2 linked regions of the Anolis sagrei genome follow. The protein of the gene in region 1 interacts with the protein of each later gene in a biochemical or structural test. Links are inferred from orthologs where the notes say so. Each region holds a gene or a part of one and is shown on either strand. Other genes may lie near its edges. The genes, in order: ANGPT1 and TIE1.

The links.
Region 2: the proteins of ANGPT1 (region 1) and TIE1 interact in a biophysical measurement, tested with the Homo sapiens proteins (2 studies listed by BioGRID and IntAct, with this or other methods). The link is inferred for Anolis sagrei from reciprocal best matches to the Homo sapiens genes ANGPT1 and TIE1.

Annotation. Positions count from the first base shown.
Region 1 is NC_090024.1:27,697,663-27,714,481, reverse strand, and holds the start of ANGPT1 (angiopoietin-1), read right to left. Parts: upstream 6,087-16,819; 5' UTR 5,597-6,086; coding exon 5,297-5,596; intron 1-5,296. UniProt on the Homo sapiens protein: Binds and activates TEK/TIE2 receptor by inducing its dimerization and tyrosine phosphorylation.
Region 2 is NC_090024.1:183,095,627-183,111,886, forward strand, and holds the start of TIE1 (tyrosine-protein kinase receptor Tie-1), read right to left. Parts: upstream 7,928-16,260; 5' UTR 7,383-7,927; coding exon 7,304-7,382; intron 1-7,303. UniProt on the Homo sapiens protein: Transmembrane tyrosine-protein kinase that may modulate TEK/TIE2 activity and contribute to the regulation of angiogenesis.

The sequences.
Region 1 (16,819 bases):
TAAAATTTATCCTTCACTGACCTTAATGAGGGGGAACAAGGTGTGAAGGTCCTATACTTCATTTTGAGAATAAATTGCACTTTATGGAATTTTGAAGGAGAGCAGTTCACTCCACTTTGCTTCTAATTTCAGCATGACTAGTTTGGTTAGTATTTGGATAGTCCACCAGCAGGGAATACCATGGATCTCAAGACAGGGTTAGAAAAGACCCTTGGTTAAACCCCTGGAGAACTGCTGTCAGTGAGATGGCTCATGTTCCCACCCTTTAAAAGACAGCTTCTCCTGTTTTTGAAATGTGAGAGGGATTATTATTTGGGGAACTGGCAACTGCAAAAACAGGTTAGGCCACATGGATCCCATGGGCCATCTTTTGCCAATCCATGTGGGCCACATAGAAAATACCAGCTACATGGGCGAATGGACCAGCTAAATATAAGGCAGCTCCCTGTGTTACTCTGTCCATATCTTAATAAGCCCAGACCTACTGGATTTTTTAATTTTCTGTAGATAATAAAAGAATTGCTAAAAATGTTAGTCACATTTTGTCAATGCTCTACTTTATCCATTTCTCTTCTAGATATTATGCAAACACAGACAGTGTGCAGAGGGATACTTTGATAAACACACATCTGTATAGTTGCAAAACCATTTGTAGTTGTACAATACATTTGGGTAAGTTCAGCATGGGGAAGAAAAATCCTGAAAAGTTGCCAAGTTAAAAATTACAGAAATCTATTCCTTGACTATATTTAAACAAGGAAATTACAACCTAAGCATTTCAATGCTGTATGATAGCCAGTTATTGCAAGAAATAAACACAACAGTGTGTAGTCTGTTTTACTCTGTTAGAAGAAACATGGCAGTTGTGAAACCAAAGGTTAAGTGATAAGTGAAGTTATTCTTCTTAAAATAAATACCACAAGGAAAAGCTGCAAATATGTTTATCAAGCTATCATCTTCTGGTAGTTTCAGCAAAAATGCTCTTTGTGACACTCCTAACTTGGTCCCTTGTCCAACCAATCACTTAAACATCAACAAAGGATATGCAAATTTCACTGGACGACACCCAAACTTAATTGCTTACAGTCAGGCACGGAACTCTTCAGCGGGATTTGAAGTGACAGCTCATTGCAAGAAGGGTTTTAAAATATTTATTTTGTTTTCCAAAATCTACTCTCTTTCTCTTTCTCTCTCTTTTTTTTTAAAAAAAGATCAAACTGCATTTCTTCCAGATTAGCTAAGCTAAGACCATTGCAATGTCAACTTCCTAGTTAAACAATCCATACTTCAGTTCTTTTTTATGTCGTCCGTCTCCCTTCCAAGCTCTACAAAACTTGTGTTTGGGATATGTTGTAATAGAAGTAATATGTTCTGATGTCTTCTAATGCTAAATAGTTTTAATGAGTGTGATATGCTACAGCAAAGATTTAAGAGTGCACATAGACACAAGCACTGATTTAAAAAAAACCCACTATGTAAGAAACCTGGATAGGGTTTTTTACACAATTATAATGATGTACTTTGGCCATAGCTCTGGGACTAGTATTTCCCATTTACTCAATCTTTGGCTATATTACATTCAAATACTAACACAACTGGATTTTGCAATCTGGATTCTCCCGGCTCGGCTTGGTTTTACTGGCACATTAATTTATTAATTTATTGTTAAATTTTACTGATGATATTGTATAATGTTTTAAAATGATTTTATTGTGAATTGTAATTTTTATGGTATTTATGCTGTTAGCATCCTCTGATGCTCATGTGAGCCCGCGTTGAGTCCCCCTTGTGGGGAGAAGGGTGGGATATAAATATAAATATATAATTGGAACGGATTACTTTAGCATAAAATTATTAGGTGACATTACCTTAATTTTGCAGCTTTCGATGGTTCTCAAGTATATATTCTTTCCAATTAAAGTTTCATTTCTTGGATGGGAAAGTTGTGGTTTAAATGGTTTGCGCCGACAGCAGCAAAACAATGAGTGGCTCATGTAGTGATGTAGGCTACAATGTACACAAATAAATGCATTGAAATGACCCATTTTGTCCCTCCCTAATGCCCACTTCCAAATACAGACACCCTGGAAAGCATGTCCTTTCATTCTGCCAAAAACTGAAAAGCAAAGATATGTGATCTCTGACCACTTGCTACTTTTAAAGGACCTAATGGGAAACCTTTCACCTACTTTCAAAGTTCAGATAACCGCTGAAGAATGTGAGCCATGAAGATACCATTTTGTCACTAACTACATGTTTAACCATCTATCTTTTTCTCTTAAAACTTGAGGGTCAATGGCAATTTAGAGGAGGTCTCCCCACCAAAGTCATTTTTCTTCCTCTGCAGTTTGCAGGCAAAACAGTGGGCTTAGCTCAGTCCCTAGTGGTCAAACACAGAACATGGAACCATTAGATGAAATTTTGCAGGGCAACCTTTTTTTAACAAATGTAAAAGCATACATGTACGCCAACACACAAAGATGCATACAAATGTACACAACTCCAACTGCACTACTAGCTCCAGGAAACAGCTTTTACTCTTGGACATAATGGGTTTTTTAATAAAAAAAATAGCTCAAAATAACAATCATTATGTCACAAAAATTCCCGTGTCTACCTCTTCATTCTTGTCCTTTACTTGCTAAAACTGGATGTGCAATTTTCAGGCTACTCTTCCCCACCCACCCACCACCACAAAACCTGGAAGTAATCACCTCCTTGAATTCAGTGTACCAACTTCCAAAAGAATCTATTTAGGATTGGTTTCAGTTGCTGGCTACAGTCTCCCATACACCCACACATGCACATATACACTGAACTAAGAGCAACTCTCACCCATTTAATAGGGCTTATTTTTCTGAGTAAATCTTTTCAAGACTGTCTAGCCATTTTGGTTTGCTATCCTCCCCCCTATGAAATCCAAGAGCTATGCTTCTGAGTGAAATTGTTTACATGCTGATGAAAAGAGAAAAGAAATTTGGTACATCAAATTGTAAACAGATTACGTCAAAACACAAAAAGCAAGTGCTTTCTTTCAGAGGTGTTCTGTAGGCTGCAATGTGTCAGGGAAGAGAATTCTCAATGAAAATGAATCATAGAATCATAGAGTTGGAAGAGACCTCATGGGCCATCCAAGAAGCAGGAAAATTGTATTCAAAGCACCCCTGACAGATGGCCATCCAGCCTCTGTTTAAAAGCCTCCAAACAAGGAGCCTCCACCACACTCTGGGGCAGAGAGTTCCACTGCTGAACAGCTCTCACAATCAGGAAGTTTTTCCTAATGTTCAGATGTAATCTCTTTCTTGTAATTTGAAGCCATTGTTCCGTGTCCTAGTCTCCAGGGCAGCAGAAAACAAGCTTGCTCCCTCCTCCCTATGACTTCATCTCACATACTTATACATGGCTATCATGTCTCCTCTCAGCCTTCTCTTCTTCATGCTAAACATGCCCAGCTCTTTAAGCCACTCCTCATAGGGCATGTTCTCCAGATCCTTGATCATTTTAGTTGTCCTCATCTCGGATGAGTCTCATTATAGATCATTCACAATGCAGTCTTCTATACTGTCTACTTGAAACCAAACCTTGTTAAATTCAATGGTGCATAACCGCTTTCATACATAGGAAGGAATGCCATATGAAAAGTTTCACTTTCATTTCAGAAGGTAGGACTGAAGGTGGAAATGGCAAGGTGGTGGATAGTGACCACAATTTAGAAGAAAGTTCCTAAGTATCATTTCAGCAGTAGAACAGATCACTTTGGGCTAATGGACTTGGTAAAGAGCATTTTAGCAAAGGTTTGATCACTGACAGTCAAGAAAATTATAGGTGCCTCCTACATTCCACAATATCCATTGAGCAGTGGGTTGAGCTAGATGACTTCTCCCTCCACATCTTTGAAAAGGAACTTCATTGAGTATAGCTCTGCCCAAAGCTATGCTCAATGACAGCTTGGCCTCAATGATAAAGCTTCAGAAACGACTCATGCACCATGCACTTTTCTGCTCAGAAGTAAACGATTTTGGGTTCAGAGGGAAGGTGGAGGACTTTCACATTTCATGGGGAATATAGAGTATACTTCTCTCCTATTGTGCCAAGAATGGTTTGGGGAATCTGGGAGCTATAGTCCCAAAATCCCAATGTGAACAAGCTCTAGTATCTTCTATATCTATGGTTCATCCCAAGTGAGAAAATATTGTACCAAAAGCTTCAGATTCTATGCAGTGTTCATGGAAGTAAATCGTATTGATCATGATGAGTCTTACTTTACAGTTTTATTTTTGCTTTTTTTGAAGTGCAACTTAACTTTTTGAAACATGCATAGGATTCTCTTTTCCATCCAGCTGTTTTAATAATATAATACACATATTGGGGACTTGCACCTGAAAATTAGAAAAAATGCAGAATCCCTGGCAGATTGAACTTGTTCCAAGATCTGTTAAAGTGAATCCAAACCACTTGTTAGCAGATCTTAGAATTGCTGCTTTTTACACTGCAGTCTCTCAGTTCAGGATGAAATGATTTGTATAATTCAGATTATAAGCTGATGTTAGGATGACAGTGATTAATTGTGAGAGGTACCCCCCTCACCTAGCCAGATTTCTACAAAGAAATATGGGGCATATGTTATTCAGGACCTCCAGCTGTGTTATTATTCTTATTTAAGCACATTTTACTAATCAATTTGAGCTTTTGCTTAACCCAATCCCTCTTTCCTCCCACACATGAAATATCCCAACAATTCTTTCTTATAGCCCAATACACTGGGCAATTATTTTAACTCATTCATTTATCAGAAATACAACTTCTTTAGCATAAGTTTCAACCAAAATTGTTGATAAATGAAAATAACTTCAGTTTTAAATAATGCATCTTTTCCATCTATCTTGATCCACCTGGAATGATGTGTCTGTGCCAAAGCAATTGACAATATATGCATCCAAACTTAAGGTGTGTAATTTTTAGAACCTGCTTCTACTATATGCCAATAGAGATATGGACCTGGTCTGTCAAGGTAAAATTACTTATAGCTATCCATGCAAGATAGGCAGAGACTATTTCTTCCACAAAGTCTAGAAGAGAAAGGGGAAAAAATCTAGAAATTTGCTTAAAGCTTTGTTCTCAGTTTATCTCACAACAAACAGCATGTTGTCACTATGACATTTGCTAACCATATATACAATGCAAACCTCATGAGAAATACCTCCTGGATCAGAAAAGCTTAGGACATGCAAACATCAAAACACAAAACAACGTGGGTGAGAAGTTGTGGGAGGTGGGGGTGGGATGAAGCACTTACCTTTTGCAGCCACTGAGTGTAGTTTTCCATGACATGCTCCAGGCGTTGCAGTTTCTGGGTAGAGAAATCCTGCTCCATGTGAGGGGCATCCCTCTGGAGAGCGTTGGTGTTGTATTGTTCAGTGGTGCTTTCGCGACAGTTCCCATCCTGTTCTGGAAGGATGAAAGTGTAGGTGCACTGCCCATGCTGAATCCGGTTATACCTCCTTGTGCTGCTGGACTCTGGCACCCGGCGTGGATTGTTGCAGCCTATGTGAGTCAGGACAGCAGCAAGAAAAGCAAAGCCAAGGAGAACGGTCATGTTACTAGCCCTCTTTTGTGTGTGTGAACAGAAACACTTTCACTCCTTTCCCTCTTGTGTTTTGTTTTGCTTTGCCTTTAAAGATCTCTTTAAGGGAACAAAATGGTAAAGAAAAGAAAATTAAGATAATAACTATCTTTTAAAAAAACTATTTCATGATAACAGAGGGCTTCCTTAGCTGAAGCTGGAGCAATTTATTGCATAGTAGCTGGGATTTATCATTTCCTCTCTGTTACACTTCAGCATGCAGCGTCTTTGAGTCAGCTGCCTAGGCATAGCCTCAGTCTCTTTCTCCTGCCCTAGCTGCGGCTGAACTGCTATTTTCTCGCAGACCTTGGCGTGTTTTATTAAGGTTGCACACTCAAGCCAAGTTGGAAGCCGGCAGTCTTTCACAAGATGACTTGATAGGAATGTGTGTGCGAGTGTGTCCCTATGCTAAAGGATGCCTGATGGGCTCGGGAAAGAGAGAGATCATCTTACACTCCTGGCTTGAAGCACAACCTCAGACATACTCTGCTGCTTGGCTCCTCCCGCACACAAGACAACTTGAGAGCCTTTGACAAAATTTAATGAGTCAAACAGTCCACCTTAATAGACTTCCTATGGGCAGACTGAACTATTAAAATGTACTTACTGGGTCCAAGTTTGTTATAAACTAACCCCCACCCCAGTAAACATTAACATACAGACCGCTGCACATGGAAAATATCTGCTATTGTATAATGAGTATGTGGCTGTGTGGCTCTCTTCGGAAAGGCTAAATCAGAGAGTAGATTGTGATATAAGTCAAAGTCTGGGGAAGGAAATGCATGTTAACAGAATAGAGATCATCCTTGGAACGAAATCAGTCCTTTTCTGCTTTGATTAATTAAGCCATAATTTCCATAGCAATAGATAAGATTAAATCAAAAGCTGTCAAACAGTTCCCAGGAAAATGTCATTCATACATTCCTCTTTTGCATGTTGATACAAGAATAACCACATATATATAGCTGATGATGCAAAAATTAAAATATGTTTTCCCATCAATTGCAAGATGTCAGGCACTTGGGCCCTGATCCAACGAGTGGCTATGTGCATATGCAAATGCTGCTTGAATATACATTAAACGTTGATGACCAGAGTTTTTTTCCCCCTGCTGTTCCTTTCACAGACTAGCATGATGCTTTTTAAGAAAGAAGCCCATCACATCCAATGGTATGAATTGATATGCTGCACTGCACTTAATTATGACAAAACAAATGTGTTAAAATAGTGTCCTAGATATTTGGAGTGTTCCACTGATTATTCTCATTTTCTGTGCACAGAAATGTCTTGCAAGTGCTGGCTCACCACAAAGAACACCTTAGGTCAAAAAGCCTATCATACCACAAAGTCCAATCTCTGTGTGACATTCCATTAGCAACTTTTATAGAAGTAGAACAAGTCCTTTCTCAACGTTTGTCACCTTACTATGTGTGAACTGATAGCAACTTGTCAAGGACATGATGGGAGCTTTGTAGCCCTCCTTTCTCTTGAAATAACTGCAGCTAACTGGATTAAATGGCAAGTCTTAGCAGCAGTCCTGTGGAAAAACACACGGGGCTGCTGCTAAGGGGAGTGGAGGAAAGTGCAGGTAGCTCCATCAGACCTACCTGAAAAAACACTTTCCTCTTCGCCATGGAGGAGGAAGTGTCTTGTGATGCTTCCCCCCATTTCGGGAGGAATGAGAGTAGGGCCAAGCCACCATTGTCTGATGATACTCGGTAGATCCTGTCCAGCCCCCATCGACAACTGGAAAAACAGGGCTAAAAAACTTCTGTGTTAAGAGGTCCTAAATGAATCAGACTGAATTATATGAGACCCCATCTACACTGCTCTATATCCCAGGATCTGATGAGAGATTATCTATTTATCCCAGAATATATAGCAGTGTAGTATAATCCAGTTCAGAGCAGATAATCTAGGATCAGATTCTGGGATATAGGATAGTGTAGAGCCAGCCTGAGTCTACACTGCCATATAATCCAGTTCAACGCAGTTAATCTGTATTCTGAAACTGCATTATATGGCAATGTAGATCCAGTCTTGGTTTAGATTGAAGCAGAGATATACACATACATAAACACGCAAATTCTGGGTGTGCATGATTTTATCCATTGGAATGCCATATCACATACAACAAATGCATTAGACAAGGTTTTGGTCATTTTTCAGTGGGTGATGTTCTTGCTAACTTGAGTCAAGTTGACTTCAAATCATGGCAACCCTGTGGAAGATTAATATTCAGTCTCTTCCTACCTTGTTTCCTATTATTACAAGAAAAAAGTTAAAAAAATAACAGATGTACAACAGGGCTAGAGGTAGAACTAAGCTGTCTTTAACACACAGTTGGTCCATTTGAATAGCAGACATTTTAAACTATGATGTGTGTAAACTTCACTTAATGCCAAATTCTTATCCCTAAACAAAACAAATAATCAGGGGAGTGGGGGCGGGGGAGCATAACAGATTAGGATGATAGAATTGTAGAGGTGGAATGGATACCACAAACGATGTAGCCCAACACCAGCCCTGCAGGAATATATAATGAATGCACCCTGAGAGATGGCCATCCAGACTCTGTTTAAGACATCCAAAAACACAACAACTCACTGGTCTCTGGGGCAGTCTGCTGAAGAGCTCTTACTGTCATGTGGAGTGGGAGGATTTGAAAAAGAATTGCAAGCATTTTTGGTGGGATGTGGTTACAATTATCCTATGACTGAAAACCTAATTCACAGTATAATTTCCCTAAACATTATGGATTCATTTAGTCATGATTGCTAATAACTACTGTTAGATTTAACCTCCATGGATTTGTTTCATTTGTATCCATGCTATTTTGTGGTGCAGTGACAGAAGATGAGCAATGTTGATTTTCCTCTCCCTCTTGGAGTCCAATAAGGATAATCAACCCCGATTCATGGGTTTGCAATGGGCTGCTTCAGCATCCACTCAGGGTGGGTGGCCAGCCCCTTGAAACATCTCTGAATGTCACATTTACTCACAAAGGCAGGAGAATTGGCTAATTAGGGCTGTAGGGAAGAGTGGTAGGACTTCCTGATTACCAGAAGTTGGAGGAAGACAATGGCTGAACTGAGGTTATTATTTGCATTTGCTGTTTTTTGCTGGAATGCCTTTTCATTCAAATAAAGGGCAAATAAATTAATGTGAGCAACACATGTGTGATAGATTATTGTTTAAAATGGCTTAAATGCTTGGAGGCTGTAGAGACTTTGCCACAAATACACTGTATTCTGAGGTAACTTTCATGTGACCACTGGCTACCACCAAATTTAAAAAGGAAAGTTCAGTTCTTGTTTGACCAGAGGTTTAATTAGGCTGGAATGTGCTGGATTCACACTCAGGGCTCAAAACTCTGAGGTGAATAACAATGAGATTCCTTTAAAATGTCGCTGCCACCAATCTGGAAACTCTGTTTCCCTATCTTGTGAAGAATACTTATTTATATAGAGACACACTGAGACAGTTGTTGATGAACAAAGAACAAAGTTGTTTCTTTGTGTGAACTTCAACAATACAGGCACTTATGTGTAACGGTTGCAATAATGAGATGAAACTTATAATTCCTTAAAACAGTTCAATACATAGTTCCAAAAACAACTCTTCACTCTGTTAGCAAACTAGCAGACTTCACTAGTTTTAGAATTCCTAAAACACCAAATAGTCCTTTCCCTTGGATCTGTTTATCTCAACACTAGCTATTCTTCCTAATAGCTATCAATTTTCTCTAACTAACCACTTTGGCTTCACTAACTTCTCCTCTCCTAACTTTCCCAAAACCTAACTTTCTTCTTCAACCATGAAACCCTGACTAAACTGTCAGATTTTAAAATGCACCCTTTCAGGCAACTTTTTTCTGCACTCTAACTAAACTCTGCCCACTTTCTCTCAGCCAATCACAAAGGCTCTCCACATTTTCCTCCAGGCTGCTCTTAAGTTCCGCCCCCTCTAGGAAATGAGTACTCTAAGATGGCTGCCTCCATGCACCATCTCACAAAATGGCTGCTGAAATACTTGGGCCTACTTCTTGAGTTTTCCTCTGGCCTAAGAGGTAGGCAATTCATCACAACATGCATACAGATTTGATGTACCAAATACTGTACTGTTAGAGATAATGTTTTATAGGGACAAAATAAATTATAACCAAAAACTGCAAGTGGATGAAGAGCACTTTTAGTAAGTGTAATACTCGAGTTATGTGAAACTGCAGGCACAACCAAATGCCATTAAATTACCTCACTTCTGATCACAGCATACCATAGGGTTGTGCTAAAGGACCTAGAGATTCTTAGAGAAGTATCCTCTTTAGGATTTTCCTAGGTCCTCCCACAACAACTGTATGATAACTACCAGACAAGCACACCATACATTTTTTTCAGAAGACCTAGAATGACCATTTCCCTCTACAAGCTTGAGTTATTTGCAGTGTGGGTCTTACTGTATCTTTATTTACTGGTGTAGACACATGAACTTGGAGCCAGTTACATAAAAGCAAAATATTAATTATGTGGCCTGATTTGGATAAGTGACATGGTTGGGTAAGACTGCACGATCTAACTTGTATGACTAAAATGTACAACTCCAGACTGCAGGAAGTGGATCACAATCCATTGATCTAGCATACCCTTCAACATACCACAGATGAAGATGAGGTATTTGACGTGGTCAATATCACAGAATAATCATGATGGCAGCAGTTATTAATAAGGAAAAGCGGTACTGTTCCATTATACAGATTGACTCCAAAAGGGGTCCAAGACAGAAAAGAATGGTCCATTTTATGCTGGAGGGAGTTGAAGGAGAAAAAACATTTTCCTCATTTTTATTGTTTATCCCCCGCTTCCCATGTAATAAACTAGAGTTGTTTTGATAATTGCAATATGGGTGGAGGGGATAACAGGAAAACAGGGGAAAACAGTATTACTCCTTCAATTCCCCTTCCTCCATAAAATGGACTATTTTCCTCTGACTCCCCTTTTGGCCTCCACCCAGATAATGGAACAGTACCAGAAAAGTGTATAAATTAAGAAAATCTGCAGCAGTTTGCTTTTGTCTGGGAAAAAATTGAAAGCAGTTGAAAAAATAGGATGAGAAGGAGATTAATCACAATAATTTCAGAATACGACTTATGAGATAGGCTTGAATCCTAATGGTGTCTAACATGCACATACTTTCTCCTACGGAAGTGCTTACCATTTTTGTCTGGTGAAGAGAAGCTTCGTTCAGTCCAAAGTTGCAGAAAATGAGTTGTGCTTATGGATCGATTGTTCATGAATGCACATTATATATGGAAGTGCATTGCTCATTGCACTTTTCATTGCAGATCTCCCACCTTGGTCCATTTATATTGCCATTCAATGTAAAAGTTGTGAATCACACTAGATGCAGAGATGTACTTTACACAGCAGCAATGTAAGGAAAGTAGAAAGCTCTTCTCAAAATCTGTTTTCCTTGAAATGCTAATTTTGCACATTTTGAGAGTTTTGCATTAAGGGAAGATTTCAAATATGTGATCCCCTCCACATGCAGTTCATCTTAAACAACTCAAAATGGCTTAGTAGAAAACACATTTATGATGAAAATCATTTTCAGTCCTATTTTCCAACCACATGGGCATTGCCTTTACTCCCCAATATGCCTTGCCTGTCCATTCCTGACTCAGTTGTGAATTATTTTGGAGCACAAAAACAGCACTAGTTAAAGCAAAAGACAGCTACCCAGGATTAGAAGGTAAGTAAACAACTCTGCAGACACAGGGGGGGAAAGAGACAAAGAGGGAGACAAAGTTCACATCCAAGAATTGCAGCTATTTCTTATTTAAGCTAGGAAGCTTATTAATGAAAGATCGCTTACATTTTTATACACTCCTTGGTTGCCAACATTTTATATTTATTTTTATATGCAGACTTTAGCTACATGCATTGGGTATATGAGTATCATGAAAAGGAAAATTCTGAGCCCTGTAAAAAGAAAGAGTACTTTATATATAGGAAATACAGTCATGTGTATCTATCTTTCCATTTCTCTATATAAAGACACTCGAGACACACTCACTGATGGGACTGTCACAGTTGTTAAAAGACTTCCACAGTTAATAGGAATAGCTAGCTCTACATTTAGTCCAAGATATTCCATTTACAAAAATAATCTGAAAAAAATAATTCTCTTGTTCCATGGAGGGTCAGGGATTTTCCCCCAATGAAATGTGGATAATAGAAAATGAGCATTTGATGAAAATATAGTCCAGGATACCCAGTTTTTTAGATTCTCAAATTCCTGAAAATGCAATAATTATTTCTCCTCTGGGCTGGCCAGGGAGAGTAATAAAATGGACTGAACCTGGAAATAGCATTTCAGCTTTCCTTCGAAGGAATGATTCTCCCTAAAAGCTCTCATAAAGCTTTCTTCAGACTACATTGGACAGACTGGGACTGCATTTTATAACCAAAATGTAATAATTCCAATAAATCCATTCTTTTAAAAACAGAAGGAAAACAGAATACAATCATTCAAGAACACCATCACTGGGATTTGTCTTAGAATGTAAGTGAATAGCAAATAGTGGTTCCACAAAAAGAGCGAATGTGGAAGTCATTTATGCCTGAGCTTCAGCCACATTTGGCTTAGCCTCTTTTGGGTTAGACACATGCAAACCTATTTATTTCAGGAGGTGTTTTGTCTCTGCATAGAAATTTAGAAAGCTTCATTTACCTCCTTTTTCCTTCATCTCCAAATCCACTGTAGTTTTTTCTTTTATTTCACCCAGGGAGAGCCAAAACATTGAGGAAATACTTATGTACCTTCACTATTGGGCTTGAAAATAAAGTCTGTGTTACCTTCCAATGCCAATCACAAAACAATGAATACTTAATACAAAATATAGTAAAAAAAATTCCATATCCTTGGAGAATACATTCCTGGACTTCATATAGAAAGAAGAAACTGTGGACCATAGCAAATCCGATTGAAATGAACAACTTTGGGTAGAAGTAGAACATACAATTGTGCTGGCAAACTTAAAAAAGCATAAAACAAAACAACTACCCAACATTTCTAGGCCCTTCAGCACAACCCAACTTCCAATGGAAACATACCATAATTTATGGTGGAGGACTTAGAATTTGCTTAGAGCAGGGGTCCTCAAATTAAGGCCCAGGGGCCGGATTTGGCCCTCCAAGGTCATTTACCTGGCCCTCGCTCAGGGACAACCTAAGTCAGAAACGATTTGAAAGCACACAACAACAATCCTATCTCATCAGCCAAAAGCGGGCCCACACTTCCCATTGAAATAGTAATAAGTTTATATTTGTTAAAATGGTTCTTCATTTTAATTATATATTGTTTTAAAGTGTTTTTTGCACTACAAATATGATATGTGCAGTGTGCATAGGAATTCATTCATTTTTTTTCAAATTATAATCCGGCCCTCCAACAGTTTGAGGAATTGTGGATAAATGAAACTACAGATATAGGGGGTCATACTGTATGTAGATGAGGACAAGTGGAATTATATTCCTTTCATCACTTGAGGGGGGGCTTTTTTTCCCTAAAGAAGTATGTACAAAATATGTTTGATGCTCCCCAACACATTTTCCAATACATAGATTTCCTTTTACATGTGTCCTCTTCTATCTTCCTTTTTCTTTCCATCTAATGTTGTTGGATTATAACTCTCATCAGCCATGGCCAGCATAAGCAATGGTGAAGGACTGTGGGAATAGCAGCCCAGGAACATTTTGGAGGATTACCCATTACTGAACCACCTATCTAAGGTGACCGAAATTTCTCCCTATGTTCTCCATTCTAGGATTAGAATTCCATAACGGAGGCTAGAGATGCACAGGCCAAGTGCACTGCTGCAAAAATTAAACTTTATGATGCTGTTCAGCCACTTCTGGAGGGTAACGTATGTGTGAATGTCATACCACCATGTTTATATTTAATACACTCTTTACTGTGAAAATCTGAATCTCTTGCTTTTAGTGTATCAAACTGAAGCCTACATTCTGAGGTTGGAAATTAAAGTGGCATTGACCCTTCTGACCAATTCCAGCTCTAGATAACTTTAGCTGATGTTGGAAAGTGTCCATGTGTCACATACTATCACTGAGGAATAGAGCTCTGGTTTTGGATTTCTGCTTCCGATGCTTGTCTTTGGTGTGTCCACAGAATATACACTGGGGAAATCTACATTTACTGGAAACTGTTTCTGGATTTAATATATAGTACCTTATAGATTTGGGCTATGGATCACTTTAGTTAATGTTTGTGAGTGTGATAAATTAAGTCAATTGTGTTCTGCTAATAATACTACATGCAAAAAAATTAGTGTTCTTTTTTCAGGCTTTTATATTCTTTCCTAAATATTCTACTTCCTACATGAAGACGATGACATGGGTCATCTATTTCAGCAGTAATTCCACGAGGAAAGGTGTTGTATCCTGATATTTAGGGCATGAAACTTGAGCTACTATTCTTGGAATTTCTGTCTTTAAGAGCTCGTGTGATTTATGCCCTGGGCCAATAGCTTTCCAGTAGTCAATGAAGTTCATTTCCTAATATAAATAGAACACAGAATAGCTAGGTGGTATAAAACACTGAAAGCATTATATATTTCCTTTCTTTTTTTCTACTATGGTATCCTTCATGACAATATAGCACCCTAGTGACCTATTGTCAGAACTACCACATGTCTCAAACTGGTGTCTGTAACTCTTCATTTGGATTGCTATAAACTCATCAGCAGGCTGCTGTGTTTGCATACTACTGAAAAGCAACAGATCAGCACAAATGCTTGTCAAAGCTATTAACTGCTGCATTTAAATCTGTTATTAATCCCCAGGCTCAGCATCCCTAGAATTATTGCCTCTGTGCTCTCTGATGGTTGATGAAAACAAGGAAGTAGGAAAGATGAAATGTTTATATTCACTGATAGATAGAATATCAAGACACATATTTCAAGATACACCAAGGAATATGGAGCCCCCCATGGTGCAGTGGGTTAAACCCTTGTGCTGACAGGACTGATGACCAACAGGTTGGAGGTTTGAATCCAGGGAGAGTGCAGATGAGCACCCTCTATCAGCTCCAGCTCCCCATGCAGAGACATGAGAGAAGCCTCCCACAGGGATGATAAAACATCAAAAAGCATCTGGCACCCCCAAGCAACCTTGCAGATTACCAATGTTCTCACATCAGAAGAAACATGCAGTTTCTCAAGTCGCTCCTGACATGGAAAAAAAAATCAAGGAATATGATTTTTAGAGATTCCAGGACTCTATTTTCCATTAGTTCCTGCCACCCTTGTTGTTAATGTCGATGGATGATGAGAATAGTGGTCAATCAAAATCTGGAAGTTCTCCAACCCTGATTTACAAAATAACCCAACAAAGGCAGGCACATGTACCAAGGAGTTCAGTCTTCACTCCACATGGATGGGACTTATTTCAAAGAAAAACCCAGAGGATCACGCTGTTAGTGTCTACTGAACATCTTAATTGCTTTCAGTGGGAGACTTAACCCTTTTTGCTTTAGTAAATGTAACTTATGCTTCTTAATTGTGCATAAAATTGTGCACAAAATTGCATGACCTTGTGCCTTTTCAGTTTCATTTATTTATGTGTTTATGTACTTTTTGTTTTAAATTTTACTTTTCTCCCACCTTTCTCCCGATACAGGGACTGAAGGTGTCTGTTTTCTCTGCTCCTGCCTTGGGGAAGTTTTCATATTATCTTACCACTTTAAACAAAAACTATGAAAGTTGCAGATGATATAAGGATGCTTCTGATTTCTATTTATAATCACTGAATAATCACTAAATAATCTAAACATAATGTATGCAGTGGAAAGAAAAACCCTGCCTCTTACTTTTGTTTTACTTGATCTATTTTATAAGGTCCATGGTTGTTTTGCATGATATCTTTGTAATAAAAGCAGCTGCTTTGAACATTTTCAGACGCAAGAAATGGTAACCCTAGCAACAGAAACCATGGCGCATGTGTGATCTTTCAGTCCAGCACCTGCATCATTCATTCACACTCTCATTTATTCTTTCCATAATATTCTCAGATCAAATTCATTAGCTTTGTTCAATACCAGAGTGTTGCATTTTGAAAAAGCGATTCTTTCTAACTTCCTTCTCTACTGCTGTTCCTGTTCCTTTCTGAACCTGAAACAATAAATTCTCTTGTTCAAGGTGTAACAGCTTTGATGTCATTATACCTGAAAATGGGAATAAATTTCAATTCATTTTTTTCATAACAATTTTGCAAAATTTGTAAATTTATTCAGGATAGAAAGAACTTGAAAGTTTAAAAGAATTGAATTTAGAAGGAGCCCAAATTAGAAGATTCGCATTTCCTGGTGCGGAAGTCTGAGGCCCTTTCCACACAGCTGAATAAAATCTGGTTGAACTGGAATGTATGGCAGTAGGGACTCAGATAACTCAATTCAAAGCAGATATTGCAGGGTTTTCTGTCTTGTTATTCTGAGTTATATGACTGTGTGGAAGGGCCCAGAATGCTTAAACTGTAAAACCCTAGAAATGTTCAACATTTACAGAACAGAACTGGGACACATCTGGCTATTCACATCCAGGTCTGGTAAAGATGGCAAATGATATGAGGAAGAATATAGAAACAAAGGCAGCCTGAATGAGTTTTCTTTTGTTTGAGCTACCTGGGAAGTGCAATACTCCCCACTGTTGAGTTCATTGAGTTCAAATTACAGTTGCACCTTGAACTCAGAGTGCAATGATTAAAATAAGCTGAGGACAAGGAAGGGAAAAGGAAGAGCAGAGGGAATGTGGGATACTTCAAAAGCAGCTGGAAAATGGCATGGCAGAGGATTAATTAGGATTATCCCTGCCGATTCAGGACAGTTGAAGGGTTTGGAATTCTGTCTGTTCAACCACATTAGTGCTGAATTTCAGATTATGCTTTTTTCTTGTGAGGACATTCTTAACACTCACAGCAAATTGTTTGAATTTGTGGCCAGGGATAATGGACAGGGTACATTGAGGTCTGACCAATTTATATCAAGCTGATTGTTCTGAAGAAAACCACTGTACACCACTGGTTCCTTCTGCTATTGTTGTGTGCCTTCAAGAAATTTCCAACTTATGGTGACCCTAAAACAACCCTATCAAACAGTTTTCTTTGCTAGATTTGTTCTGAGGAG
Region 2 (16,260 bases), about 160 Mb from region 1:
CATGGATGATGGGACTTGCACATGGGAGTTGTAGTTCACACACACCCACTGAACCCAGCTGACATTGGATCTAAACTAAATTTGGAGCACAGACAAACAATGCCTTTCTTAAATAACCTGGGCACTGCTAGGTCCCCAAGCTAGTAAAAAATAAAAATAGCACCCAATAATTTTACATGCAACAACTGAAGTTGTTTCAAGGTTAGTAGAGAATGCATAAACAGTTCAAATTGCTAAGTTGCCAACAAGAAAAACAAATTAATACTTGGAATCTCCATGAAAATTTGTGGCAATTTTATCTCTTTCTTATCTTTTATGTAGCCAAACCAAAAATGGCCACCATATATTACACAACCATTGATACAATTCAAAAGAAAGTAAATGAATTCTGCAAAAGAGTTCCCAATTTCATTTATTGACAAACGTTTCAGAAATCTGCACATGGGAATGGTTAGCACATAGTAGACAATGTTTTCCATTTTATGTTGGTCATAAAAACATTGTCTGTTTTCAAATAGTACCTTATTATAACTTCGTCTAAAATGTCAAGCCAATCAATCCTCTTATAGAGTTAATGACCTCTCACATGAGTTTTCAGGGCACATGAATGGCATGGAGACTCTCTGCTGATTTGATTACTCACATGCGGTGCATAAAACCAAAAGAAGGCATTTAAAATTACTCTAGCCAACATGAGATGGTATATAATATAAATCATGCAACACAGTGCTACATGGTATCACAATGAAAGACCACTGTGAGCTCAACAGCATTTTATTATGTACTATAAACAATATCACATGCAGTGATAGGATTTAGTGGTTCACATATATGGGGAATAGAGTCTATGGAAGATCATGCCATATGCTGGTCTTTAAGGCACCACAGGATATCATGAATTGAAGGGGCCATTTTACTTTGTTATTAGGTTTTTTTTTCTGTAGTAGGCTAACACAACAGCTACCCCTTTAGGAGAGGAATTTTAGGCTGTTGTAAGCCTTATATTCAACATTTGATACTTCTCAGAAACTTATAACAATGTGAAAAACTAACTGTATACAAAACATTCAAGATAAAAAATACAAATAGCACCAAATAATTTTACATACAATCACTGAAATTGTTACCGAGGTTAGTACAGAATGTATCACCAGTTCAAATTATACATGAATGATCAATGAATATAAATGGATTTCTGAGTTTTCAACAAGAAAATAAAATTATCAGTTTGTGTCTCCATGACAATTTATGACAATTTTAGGTCCGGGCTGTGGCCAGCTGCATTAAATCACTACTGACCAAGAGGTCATGAGTTCGAAACCAACTCAGGTTGGAGTGAGCTCCCAACCATTAATAGTCTAGCTTGTTGTTGACCTATGCAGTCTGAAAGACTGCATCTGTCAAGTAGGAAATTTAGGTACCGCTTTATGCAGGGAGGCTAATTTAACTAATTTATGACAACATAAAACCTTCCAGCGGCATGCATAAAAATGAGGAAGTACTCCATCAAGGACTCGGTGTCACAAGTGGACGGTGAAGTGGCAGCTCCCCCTGTGATCAGAACCGAGCATACCCTCATGAAGCCGGAAAGCTGGAATGTTAAATTGCCTCTTTGTCTGTCTATATATGTTGTATGTCTAAATGGCATTGAATGTTTGCCATGTATATGTGCATTGTAATCAGCCCTGAGTCCCCTGCGGGGTGAGAAGGGCAGAATATAAATATTGTAAATAAATAAATAAATAAATTTATGACACTATGTGCATCTTGCTGTTGGGTCTGTCTCCTCCCTTGCAAGGTTGTTATGGAAATGAATGTGCTGAATACCATAAGGTGTATTTTGAAAACTACCCAAGGTCTTCTAAAAACTATTAATTAAACAATTATTCTCTATGTGTATATGTGTGTGTGAGAGAGAAAGCGAGAGATGCAAGGCCTTCAAGTAATCTTAATCTGTTCCAAACTCTAGGGCCAATCAATACTGACCCCATGACTGATCCGGCGTAGTGTATGCCAGATCAATCCGGTATGGTGTTCACAGCTACTACTCCTGTGCATGCAGGAGGGAGTCCCAACCACCCAGCGGTGCCAAACCTGATTTGGAACCACCAGACAGCCATCCTTATCACTCCTTCCTGTTCTCCATGTCATTGTGGTTGTTCGACATGTCATGGGTCCTGCCAGTCAGCAGTTGCCTGTACTGATGCCAGCCTGGGCAACAGGGTGATAAGGCAGGAGGGAGAGGAAGAATCACCCACTCCTCTCCACCTCTCCCCATCATCCTGGCTGACATCACTGCAAGTGATAATTTTCTGGCAGTACCCATGTCATTTCCAAATAGCTCTACAACATGGAGAAATAGAGGAGATTCTGAGTGCCATCTTGTGCCCCAAAGTCACATACATTGTATGGCACTGTAAACAACTGTAGCCAATTCTGTTTTGGAGCCATCCCAACTGTTTATATGGCACGAAGTTGAGGGTTGCTCCAAAATCAGGGCACGAATTCAGAGTATCCCATAACTTTTGACTGCCATGGAGCTGATCTGGGTGTCCTTCACAAAATGTAGTCAGTGCAGATGTGGCTCTGGTATACTCTTAGTTTGAAGACAGTGTAGTGTATGCCATGAGTGTTGGAGGGGAACTCCAGAACAAGAAGATTTTAATCCCTAGCTATGGAAATACACTGGGTGACCTTGGGCGAGTCACTGTTGGTCATCCCCTCTAATTAATGATGCCATGAAAACCCTATGACGAGTTTGCCATAAATTAGACTCAGCTTGAAGGCACATGACATCAAAATCATCCAAACAAAACTAATAATCAGAAATGCAATTCATTTTAATCCTGACTAATACAGGCATATACACAGGTAATAATTATTCTTCTTGTTTTTCTGTTTAGTAGACTGAAACCAGGGGAAATCTATATAAATAAAAATGTAATGTTCTTTTCTGGGATTAACATAACTCAAAAACCACTGGACGAATTGACACCAAATTTGGATACAAGACACCTATCAAGCCAATGAGTGACCATCACTTAAAAACACAGCAGAAGGGACTTAAAAAGCAAAAAAAAAAAAAAACCATTACAACGCATGCGCATACACATACACACGCAAACACACATATATACACAAATATGCACACACGCATATATACATACACAAAAAACGTACACAGACCGGGCCACAGCAACGTGTGGCAGGGGATGGCTAGTAAAAAATAAAATATGATGTAGCAATAAAAATTTATCTAGCAACTTTCTTAACCATCCCCAAATTATCAGGATTTTCAGCCTTGTGGGGTTTTGTATTTTGAAGTCTTAAACAATATTATGTTAGTAAAAAGTATAAGTAAAAGACAGGAGCTGCAGTGGCACAGTCGGTTAAACTGCTAAGCTGCAGCACTTGCTGATCGGAAGATCAGCGGTTCGAATCTGTGGGACGGGGCGAGTGCCTGTTGTTAGTCCCAGCTTCTGCCAACCTCGCAGTTCAAAAACATGCCAGTGTGAGAAGATAAATAGGTACTGTTTCGTCGGGAAGGTAACAGTGCTCCATGCAGTCATGCTGGCCATATAATCTAGGAAGCATCGATGGACAACGCCAGCTCTTCGGCTTAGAAATGGAGATGAACACCACCTCCACAGAGTTGAACATGACTAGACTTCATGTTAAGGGGAAACGTTTGCCTTTTACAAGTATTATTACTACAGCTGGTCCTCCACATTTGTACGTTTGACTTTTGTGGATTTAAGTTATTACCAATCATATCTACAGGTTTGTTTTGTCAATCATCATCAATCTCCCATTTTCTTAAACAACAAACAATCCAGACTTCTTATTGTTGTTAATGCGCATGACACTCTATGGTAGAGAAATCCTTGCCACTAAGAAATTGCAATCTAAGATCTATGACATTTTATTATATATTGGTTTTATAGTATACATATTATAGTAGCATTACCAAAACTGGCATTCTACGTCCTAAGATGAGGAGGAAACTTAGTTCACAATAACCTTATACAATAAAGGTGATTTTTGCAACTTTTGTATTGGTAGATGCTATTGCAATATTTAATCACATGCCTTGCTTTCTCTTGTCTGAATTAATTAAACAATGGAATGTTTGTTTATTGTTTAGGAAGGTAAGACTTTTTGATTGTATGTATCTAGCTACGTAATGTGTTGAGAAATATTTTGAATTTTGTATTGTTGTATAGTTGTATTAATAAAAAAGAATTTTGGAAAACCTCTTAGCACAAAAATATGTGCCAGTTAGTGCTTGGTTTGTTGATTTTCCCTAGCACAGAAGGAAGTCCTTATCTCATACATAAAAACAATATTATTCTTTTGTCTACCCATTCAGCATAGTTTGGAAAACAAATAACTAAACTACTAGCTAAAATATTTATCCTTGTATTTGACTGAATCTGGAATGGCAATTGGAGATAGTTTGAATAACCAGACTATTCAGAAACAGCCTTTTGTAACATTCCTTCATGGTAACCATGGTATTGTATTGTAGGTATTGTAACATTCCTTCATGCTAACCATGTCATTTGAGCACTTACGCAGTTAGTAAATTCTATTATTTTAGACTAAGAATCCTAGAATTTCCTATCAGGCACGAGAAAAGAGTAATCTCCCATCTCTGATCAAAATTTGCATATGTAATTACTTCCCATTTCACAATTGTCTACGTGTCAATTCTGCACTATTTCCTGCTTGAAAGTTGATAAATTATTCAGAAGTTGGACTTGTAATTTTACCTTAAGTCGCGTATCTAACTGTACAATGCACTATCTAGAATGGTGCCTTGTGCTGTAATACAATTAGATTCTCCTTCTGCGGGTGAACCTGCACTATAAAATTAATGCAGTTTGAAACTCATTGAATCAATGCTATGGGACCATGGAATTTGTAGTTTAGCAAGGTACCAGAACTCTTTTGCAATGAAGGCTGCACTGGTGAGGCAGCCGGGATGGATGGGGAAGACACTTTATTACATTATTTCCATTAGAAAAAGGGACGTGCCAGGAACTATACAGTGGTAAAACCCCGCAAAACTCTACTGACCATAAATAAAAGAAACACATGTACAAACATGAAGTACATCAGGGGCTACAATGTCTCTACCTTCCCTTTTTGATCTCTCTTAAAAACTGATACCAACATGGCAGCTTTTCCTTTCACTTAAACATGTGCTTGATTTGCATCACAAATGGCAGCAGGAATTATCTCAGAATGTCCATTGCGCAGGAAATACCACTGAGCTGACTAGCATCAGGGAGACTGTCTTATTTCCAGTCTGCATTCATCATACTCATATCTGGATGCCATGATTCAATCTTTGTCAATCCCACCATGAATCAAACCAATCTGTATCATCTGGACTAAAGAAGAGATCAGAACTATCAATTTTTGTAATTCCCCAATGTCTCAGTGAAGTCACTGCCTCAATAACATGGTTCAAGTTATAGGTAGGAATACATCTTTAAACAAATATTTCTGTGAAGTTCAAGTTAATATGGAAAACAGATAAAATGCATTCATGAGAAAACAGATATGAGACTGATTGAAAGGAAAATCATACTTACATCCATTATTACCGCTTTGCATGGGTTCAGTATTATGTTGGGAGAGGCGCAGCACATTAAGCTATATGTTATAGCCCTCTCCAATATTATAGCTCTTTCCAAAATTATCCAATATTTAACGGATGAAAACCAGGACATGTGTGTCCAAGCAATATCAGTGTATGGTCAAGCTGGCAAACATTATTAATGAGGAGGAACAGAGAGGCTAAGAGAGACTGCAGCAGTTTGGTTTTGCCTGAGCCTACTGGGAAGGGAAGGCCATTATCCTCTTCTGCTGCTTCCTGGATGCTTTTTTCTTTGAATTCAGGCCCCATCCGCACTGCCATATAATTTGGTTTTGGAATCCAGATTATTTGCTTTTAACTGGATTATATGGCAGTGTAGACTCATATAATCCAGTTGAAAGCAGATAATCTGGATTCAGAAACTGAATTATATGGCAGTGTAGATCCAGCTGGTTAGCTGAAGACAAAGGAGGAAAGGGAGAGAATTAGTAAGAAATTGAGATTTTGAAAGCAGCTGGAAAAGCAAGGCACTTTATTAGGATTTTTTAGGACCATTCCTGTCAAATTTGGACAGTTGGAAGTATGCAGTTTTTAGGGTAGCACTGAGCAGTTAGACAATGCACCTTTAGATTGTTTTAATTAGGGGTTGCTGGAGAGCACCATCCTGTCCAGCCACCTAAAATCTCAGATCTCTCAGATTTTGCTAAAGGCAGGTTTGATCTTGCCACAGATTTCTAGTGACTACCTCTTCCAAGGGCCCATTGAGGTAGTGGAGGCTCCTTCTTTGGATGCTTTTAAGCAGAGGCTGGATGGCCATCTGTCAGGGGTGCTTTAAATGCAAATTTCTTGCTTCTTGGCAGAGGGTTGGACTGGATGGCCATGCCATGAGGTCTCTTTAACTCTATGATTCTATGAGGCTCCATTTTCTTTGGCACTAGAACATTTCCCAGGGTGGGAGAAAGTAGAGCATATGTATGTGACCACTAAACCTTTTGAAGACCCTTATCCCACCTTTCTTTTTTCTTTTCTTTTTTTGTACAAATCTGACATTATCTATTACTTCTGAAGTCTGACAACAAATCATTAGATGTATGACAGTGTGTGAGGAAAGAAAGTAAATAGACTATGAATAGGATAGTCAGTATCTTAGCCACTGTGATAGTCTTTGTTCAGCCAGTACAAAGACCTTTTTCTTTCCTCCAGATTTTAATTCTTTTAGGTTTAAAAGCTTCTTGCTGATCGATACACAGCTGCTGTCCTCAACTATTGCTTCTACCCTTGGCTTTAGTCTATGGCTGATTTAAGTTTGTTTTATGCATTAGAGATAATGTCTTATAGTTACAACTTTCATGGTCTAAACCTTAGGCATTTCTATACTGACTACTTAAAGTAATTTTCAAACTGGTACTGAAGAAAGGGGTTTTGCTGTGCAGATGAATACATACAAAATCCCGGAACCAGTTTGAGGTTGAAATGGGGATTATACAAACCACAGAGCACTGATGTGCATTAAGGGCTTTCTTTCATGCACTATCAAGAGCATTTGTTGGCTAAACACTGCGGTTTGAAACTAGCTCTGAACTGCATTAAATGGTCAGTGTAGCTGTGGCCTTATTTTTGGAACTGATAACTGAGCTTCAGCCAGTTAAACATATAAAGGAAATACAAGTAACTGAAATAAATAAGAAAGGGCTTTACCTGCCAGTTGTAATAAGAGGCTTAGAAGGCAAATCCTGTCCAGTCCCATTTTCCAGGATGCGCTCAATGTCAGGAGCATTCAGGCATCACTAATCCAGAAGAGGGAAAAGCTCACAGAGGGAATATTTGTCATTTTTCATTCCCAATATCCATCTTCTCCACACTTGGCATGTCTGTGCCCTCAAGTCCTTTGTAAGAACTGAAAGGAAGTTCACACTAGACTAAAGGGATGATGGGGAAGATAAGTTTTAAGAGGAAATGTTCTTGGCTTGCGCCATCAGAGACCTTCACAAAATGTCTCCGCTGAGCTTCATGGAGAAAATCTCAGGAAATGAAAAAGTGGCTTCATTCTAGCTATCCAGAAATGCTGGGTTTCTGTTCAAGGAAGCCCAATTGCCCTGGAAATCAGAGTGCCACTTCAAAAAGACCTTCTGAGCCCAACATTCAATGCCATATGTAGCTTTGGAGGAGGTTTAATCCTGCTGTTTCTTCCATGCCGACCAGGGAGCATTGGGATAGGGACAAAAGAAAAACTCTGGGCAGCACAGGAATGGGCTATGGGTGGGAATGGACTGGGCAGGACATGAGCTGGAAGAGTCTCCTTGGCTGGGGTTCAGCTGGGGCGGGAATGCCTGGAGGCCCTCACCAACAGAACTGCAATGACATGAAATCCTGTTTCCCATACAGCGTTTCCTGCTCTCCACCCATTGTTCCTTGCATATCTCTGCCTCTTCCAGGGGGGAGCAGCTTGAGAGGTAACTGGGCTGAAATACTAATGTTGGAGTGAAAAAAGACCACAGCATTCACATTTTCTACATTGAAGGCTGAGCGGTTTGAGGAGCTCTACTGCTGATTAACCCTACTGCTGATTAATCTATAACCCATGAGGCAGTTAACTGTGGTCCCAGTGGTGCAGTGGGTTAAGCTGCTGAGCTGCTGATCTTGCTGATTGAAAAGGTTGCAGGTTTGAATCCAGAGAGTGACATGAGATCCCACTGTTATCCCCAGCTTCTGCTAACCTAATAGTTCAAAAACATGCAAATGTGAGTAGGTCAATAGGTACTGCTCCAGCGGGAAGGCACTCTATGTAGTCATGCCGGCCACATGACCTTGGAGGTGTCTATGGACAACACTGGCTCTTCAGCTTAGAAATGGAGATGAGCACCAAACCTCAGAGTTGGACAAGATTGGACTTAATGTCAGGGGAAAACCTTTACCTTTACTATTCACACCGCAGAATTAAAACAATTTTGATACCACAATAATTGTCATGGCTTAATGGTATACATTCTGAGATTTGTATTTTTGTGAGCTATTCACCCTTCTCTGTCAGAGAGCTTTGGTGTCACAACAACAAACTATAAATCTCAGAATTCCATAGGATGGTGTTATGACAGTGATGTCAAACTACTATAATTTTGCAGTGTAGATGGTCTCTGCATTTCAGTTGGATAATGCAGGGTGGGCCTCTATGAAGCAATGACCCAGTCACTTCAGTCTGGTCATGAGGCTACACATTATCTGGGTATGTCAAATGATTGAAGCTGCATCCACGTATAGGTTTGCATGGAACTGAATTCTGGGCCCCTAAGATAGAGCTACTTTCCTGTGTTCACTCTCCCAGTATAGAAAAAGATTGATGTATTGTTGAAGGCTTTCATGACCGGAATCACTGGGTTGTTGTGAGTTTTCTGGGCTGTATGGCTATACAGCCTGGAAAACTCACAACAACCCAAAAGATTGATGCTTTATAAAGATGTGATTTGACTACATCCTTGGGCAGTTCACACTCTCTCAGCCTCAGAGGAAGGCAAACATAAGACCCCTGCCCCCAAACAAATTTTGCAGAGAAAACCCTATAATGGGGTCTCCTTGGGGTTGCAATAAGTCTGAAATGACCTGAAGGCAGACAACAACAGCAACAACACAGGAGCAATCTCAGGGAGGGGCTTTACAGAAAACAATAGCTGTAAACATGTTTGGGAGGAAGTCTAAGGACATGCTTAGCCAGTTTTCACTTCCACACTCCTAGAACTTGCTTACAACCCAGTAGTGTAGTCACATCATGGCTTATTTCAGCTTCTGCATGCAATGAATAACACTAGTTATGGGGCACAACAGAATGGGATAGAAATGCATTAGCTTTCAGTGTTAACTGTTTGATAGGAACGTGAAATGAGTTGAAAGAGTCCTCTTTTTCACTCTGATGCTTTTTCTAGCTTTTTAAAAATGCCTGGTTGGGAAAAAGATGTTGGCCAAAGTTGGGCTGGCTCCCTGAAGCAGTGCTGGTGCTTTCCCATTGACTTATCTATGGATCATATCAAAGTTCATAATTTTGGCCTCAAAATCTGTGATTTATATTTGAGGTCAAATGAGTGCAGTTGAATCTTACCATTTTCAGATTTAACTTTTGCAGGTTTCATTATTAACAGATTTGATCATAACGTTCTCCCTAGGAATCTCCAGGGCTCTTTCTACACTGCCATATTAAATCCAGATTATCTGTTTTGAACTGGATTATATGGCAGTGTAGACTGATATACTCCAGTTCAAAGCAGATAATGTGGATTATCTGATTTGATAATCTGGATTATATGGTAATGTAGAAGGGGCCTAGGTCATCTGATGCAACTCTTTCTGCTGGAAATCGATCACAGTCATTCTGAAGGATTTAGAGATTCCTAGAGAAAACATCTCTTTATAAGTCTCTTGGTCCTTCTGTTTACCTATTCTCTCAGGTTAAAAAAAGCAGTCTTGTTATTTAAAATTCTTCACTTTTGTGTGGGTCCTGCATCCCTAACCTCAGTGAATGTCAAAGACTGTATTATAATATGTGTTATGGAATTTCATGAACCTGGAAATTGATGCTACCTTGCTGGTCCTTAGTCATTTGTATTATTAGAATTAATGTTTGGAATAAAAATGGGAAATCAAAGCAAAATTAATTTTGCATCAATTGCCTGTTAATTTGTATAGATATCAAAGATGCTTCTTTAGTGGCTGTGGGAAACACAGGCATTGCTCATAGCAATTTCCAGGCAAACTTTAGGACCATTGGGAAGAAAGCCAGATATGGACTGGGTGGCCTGGCACAGTCTGAGGCTACATTTTATCCCTCTGGAAATCTAAAGCAAGCACAGGCAGGAAAGGGAAATTCATTCATTGTTTCCGACTATTGATATGGAACTCAGGAAATCAGGTGCCCTTGTGGAATAGCAGCGTGGGTGAAATACAACAGGCTCAGGCTCCATCTTGCCACTCCAGATTCTACTATTTGCCTTCAGCATCTCTGTTGTGATAACTCAATGTCTGGTGAAGCATAGAATAGCACGGTGTGCTTCTTAAATAGTTCCTCTTCTTGACTAGTCCATTGTGTCATGTGTCTGCCATAAAATATAAATTACTTCACAGCTTGTTTCCTTTTCAAAAAAAACACATAGCTTTTTGTGTTTCTTTACTGAACTAATACTGAGTGGGTGCTTAATTGGATACATGCATAAACACTACCACCCCCAATTTGGGAATGGAGTAGACCATCTGACCATGACCCTTTAAGTATGCCTTGGGCCTCCTGAAATGGAAAGTTAGACCATCTTCAATCACTGAGGACCAGACAAGAACACAACCTAAATCATCCTATTTGGTTTGAGAAAGTACCTCTCTCATGCAAACAACAAATAGCCAGAGAGAAGGTGGAATTACATTGAATGGAGATAAACATGTGGCAAATAAGATCTGAGTATACAGTCCCAGAGAAGGGCAGGTGGTAATCAGTGATGGGATTGAGAATTTCTAGCACATACTCTAATAGAGCGTACATTTATGGTTGTGTTGCCGAAGTCCTCAGCTTTAGAATGGAAGGCCAGTGTTGCACTGCAAAACCACTTTCCTATAAATGAACCATCAACTGGAGTATATTGTCAGGTGACACTAGCATGTTGATATACATTTCTGATGGAACCTGCAAAGGGCCCCAAGGCTATTTTGATCAGTTGAGTGATTGAATGAGGCCAGAAAGAGTTAAACCGATTGGATTTAGAAACAGAATCATAGAGTTGGAAGAGACTCCATAGTTAGACTCCATCTAGTCCAACTCCCTGCCATGCAGGAAAAGGATAAAGTACCCCTGAAAGATGGTCATCCACCCTCTGTTTAAAAGCCTCCAAAGAAGTAGTGTTCATTATACTCTGGGGCAGAGAGTGCAACTGCTGAACAGCTCTTACAGTTAGGAAGTTCTTCCTAATGTTTAGGTGGAATCTCCTTTCCTGTAATTTGAAGCCATTGCTCTGAGACCTAGTTTCCAGGGCAGCAGAAAACAAGTCTGCTCCCTCTTCGTTATGACACCATTTCACATATTTATATATATATCATGTCTCCTTTCAGCCTTCTCTTCTGCAGGCTAAACATACCCAGCTCATTAAGATGCTCCTCACAGGTCATGGTCTCCAGACCTTTGATAATTTTAGTCGCCCTCCTCTGGACACCCTCCAGCTTGTCAATATCTCAATTGTCAATTGTGCTGCCCAGAAATGGATACAGGTGAGGTCTGACCAAAACTGAATAGAGAGGTACCAGGACTTTCCTCAGTCTAGACACTATATTCCTTTTGCTGCAGCCCAGTGGCTTTTTAGCTGCAGCATCACATTGTTTGCTCATGTTCAATTTGTTGTCCACAAAAACGGCAAGATCTTTTTCACATGTATTGTTGGCGAGGCAGCCGCCACCCAGTCTGTATTTTTGCATTTCCCTTTTTTCTGCCTAAGTGTAGTATCTTACATTTGTCCTTGCTGAAATTCATTTTGATAGTCTTGGCCCAGCTCTGTAATCTGTTAAAGTCATATTGAATTCTTTTTGCTATCCCTCCTAAATTGGTGTCATCTGCAAGCTTGATAAGCATTCCCCTTAATCTTCATCTAAGTCAGAAGTCCCCAAACTTTTTATACGGGGGGCCGGATTACTGTCCCCCAGACCGTTGGAGGGCCGGACTATAGTTGTTTTTTTTTTTTAAAAAAAACAATGACCAAATTCCTATGCACACTGCACATGTCTTATTTTGCTACTGTTATGAATCGTAATGTAAATATCTGATATGCAGGATGTATTTTTATTGTTACAATCTGAACATAAAGTATAGTGATTAATCACAAAAACAATATGTAATATACATTGTGAAATATTTATTTCTAATTACAAATAAATGAAATTTGGATTTCAAGCATGTCACAGCATGTGTAACAGTCTTAATATAACAGCAGGGAATCCATTTAAAAAAAGGGAATCCATGAATATGTTTACTGTTCAGCCTACAGTGAGGACAAAACTACATCATTTGTTTGTAACTTGGGGACTGCCTGTATAAGTTGGGTCACAGGGGGTCACAGAGACGACTGTACAGAAGAAGAATACCTGGCAAAGTCAATGAAAGATTAAATGTCTCTGATCTTGAATGCTAAGCAGGGCCAGTTCTGGTTTGTATTTGGATGGGAAGCCACAAATGAATAGCAGGTGTTCTATTTCAGAGAAAGAAACTGACAAAAGAAAACCCTATTAAATTCATGGGGCTGCCATAAATAAAAGGAGAACTCTACACACACCCAACCATGGGCTGCTGAAAGCAATATAGGTATACATAGAAAAAGATAGCTTTCACATTTCTGAAAATAAAATAGTTCCAATGAAAATGAGGAAAAATATATATTTTCTGTCATTTTGAAAGTGGTTTTTTGGAATATGTAAGCATGAGTCCCCTTTCTGGGGGAGAAGGGCAGGGTATAAATATAGGAAATAAATCTATATAAATAAAAATGTAATGTTCCTTTGTGGGATTAACAGAAATCAAAAATCACTGGACACTTAACAACCCAATGTATGTCCTTCACTCAAAAAATTGATTTTGACATTTGGGAATTGTAGTTCCTGAAATTTATAATCAAAGAACATTCTGAACCCCCCCCCCCCCTACAACAATGGAATGGAACCAAACTTGGCACACAGTTCTCCCATGACCAACAGAAAATACTGGAAGAGTTTGGTGGGTAGTGTCCTTTGGTTTTGGAGTTGTAGTTCACCTACATCCAGAGATCACTGTGGACTCAAAAAATAATGAATCTGGACCAAATTCTACACGAATACTCAATATGCCCAAATGTGGACACTGGTGGAGTTTGGGGAAAATAGAATCTTGACATTTTGGAGTTGTCGTTGCTGGGATTTATAGTTCACCTGCAATCAGAGAGCATTCTGAATCCCACCAATGATGGAATTGAACCAAACCTGACACATAGTTTTCCCATGACCAACAGAAAATACTGGAAGGGTTTGGAGGGGAGTGTGTCCTTTGGTTTTGGAGTTGTAGTTCACCTACATCCAGAGATCACTGTGGACTCAAAACAATGTTGGATCTGGACCAATCTTGGCTGGACCAGGCTTCTCCTCCCTCCCTCCCTCCCTCCCTCCCTCCCTCCCTCCCTCCCTCCCTCCTCTTTCTCTCCCCTTCCTTCTTTCCTTCCTTCCTTCCTTCCTTCCTTCCTCTTTCTCTCCCCTTCCTTCCTTCCTTCCTCCCTTCCTTCCTCTCCCCTTCCTTCCTTCCTTCCTTCCTTCCTCTCTCTTTCTCTCCCCTCCCTCCCTCCCTCCCTCCCTCCCTCCCTCCCTTCTCTCCGTGGGGACACCGGGCCAGGCACCGCCTCCGATTGTTCTCCTGCACAGTTGGGAGGGAAGGAGGTGTCTCGTGGCCACGGAGAACAAGAGAGCGCAGCAGAAGATCTGCGGCCATGAAGCGCCTGCTGTTCCCCTCCCAGCCGTGCGAGGAGAACCAGCGGAAAGGAGAAGGAAGGGGAAGGGGAGAGAAAGGGGGAAGGGGAAGGAAGGAAGGAAGGAAGGAAAGAAAGAAAGAAAGAAAGAAAGAAAGAAAGAAAGAAAGAAAGAGGGAGAAGCCTGGTCTGGCGCGACTCTGCCTGAAGCCACTCCGGAGGGAGAGAGAGAAACGGCAAGGGGCTTTGTGCCACCCAGCCCAGGCCACGCGGGCCGGATAAATGCCCTTGGCGGGCCGCATATGGCCCGCGGGCCTGAGTTTGGGGACCCCTGATCTAAGTCATTAATAAAGATGTTGAATAGTACTGGCCCCACTAGTCACTTCTTTCCAGGATGAAGAGCAACCATTGCTGAGCACCCTTTAGCTTCAGTCGCTTAACCAATTACAGATCCACCTAATGGTAGCACTGCCTAGCCCACATTTGACTAGTTTGTTTGCAAGAAGATCATGAGGGACCTTGTTGAAGGCCTTACTGAAATCAAAATATGTTACACCCACAGCATTCCTTGCACTTGATGACAAATGCCTCTGTCTTGTCTGGATTCAGTTTCAGTTTGTTCTTCATCCAGCCATTATCTCCTTCAGGCATTAATTCAGAGGAGATGTGCTATCCTTAGCCGAGGCTGTTTTTGAAGGTTGTTGATAGCCACCACTATCTGGAAGAATTCTAGGGATGTGAAATTCTTTGACAATCAAACCTGGCTCTAATCATAAGTCTAGGCTACAGCACATCACTTGCCTTGCTAGAATAAGCCTGGTTCATGACTACCTAGAACAGTGGTTCTCAACCTGTTGAGGACGACTCCTTGCCTTCAAGCTGATCTGACCTGCAGTGGGGAGTTCTGAAGTTCTCTATTGCCTGCTTGGGCCAGCTTCCATGGAATGTGGCCACAGCAGCAGCTTCAATCAAGAGACTTTCTTTCTGCTTCACCCTCTTCCCCTACTTAACATTGTAACAAATCCCCCCAATAAAGTATCAATTAATTGTAACTTTTTTCTCTCTATAGTGTTACTTTGTGTCCTTTACTGCCTCCAAACTCTTCACTTCATAAACTTTCTCTCTCCCGAGTTGCAGACAGCTGCTAGCCCACCTGGGATGCGATTTTCGCGTCCTGGGGAGGCCGAAACTGTGTTCCTCTGAACCGCAGATATGGAAACCCATCGAGTCCTCGTATCTGTGGGTCAACGGGTTGCTCCAAAATCAGTGCCATTCTTTTCCTAGACTAATTCTAAGACTAATGGCTATCTTGCTTTCACTCCGCTAACCCCTCTGCCCCGGGAATAACAATTTTTGCCTCCAAACCTCAACATGGAGCCCTGCTGGCTCCCCGCTGCCATGACTTCACTGTCTTGTTGATGCCTGGAGAGCCTGTTGACCTGGGGAACCTGTTGCGGTCATCCCTTGGGACCTCCAGGAAACCGATATGCCACCCTGGTCCTTGACAAGATGGGATCTCTAGTTTTCTTCATTTTCCAACATGGATCTCGACCTCCAGTGCTGGCAGTCACTTTCAAGGACTTAATGGACTCAGTGGAACCTTTCCAAGTTTGCTCCCATGGATTCTGCAACTTTTCCTGAACTTTGATGAACTTTTAAAAACTTTTCAGAAACGTTTTCCCCCAAACTGCATGGACTTCCTTTATGATTTTAGACCTGAAATGAACTCCGGGGGAGGAGGGGGGAGGGATATGAATTTTTCCACTTTATGAATGCATGCCTTATGAACCCCATATAAGTATCTATGTATAAAATATGGAATGTCACACTTTTCGTACCCCAGCATGCCAAAATTTTAGGAAATTCTTTTTCATATCCTAAGAAGGATTCCCCATTGATTAGAACGACTCAACAAAGTCTTCTTGCATGGACAGAAACAATGGTGCCCCTTGAAGCATGGCCATCTGAGAGGAAGCACTCTATGGTGACTCAATCACTCATCAACAAAGAGACATCTTGCCTTCAGGAGCATCTGGGTGCCCCATCCTCCTCACCCTTTGTCTTCATACCCTTGGCTGAAACCAATGCTCAGATAGCATCAACTGATCCCATACCCAGGGCCAACCACTTTTGTTTATTTCACCTTCATAAGACAATATCAGGGTAGCTTGAGGAATCTTCGTATTACTGCCGGCAATCGGACAACAC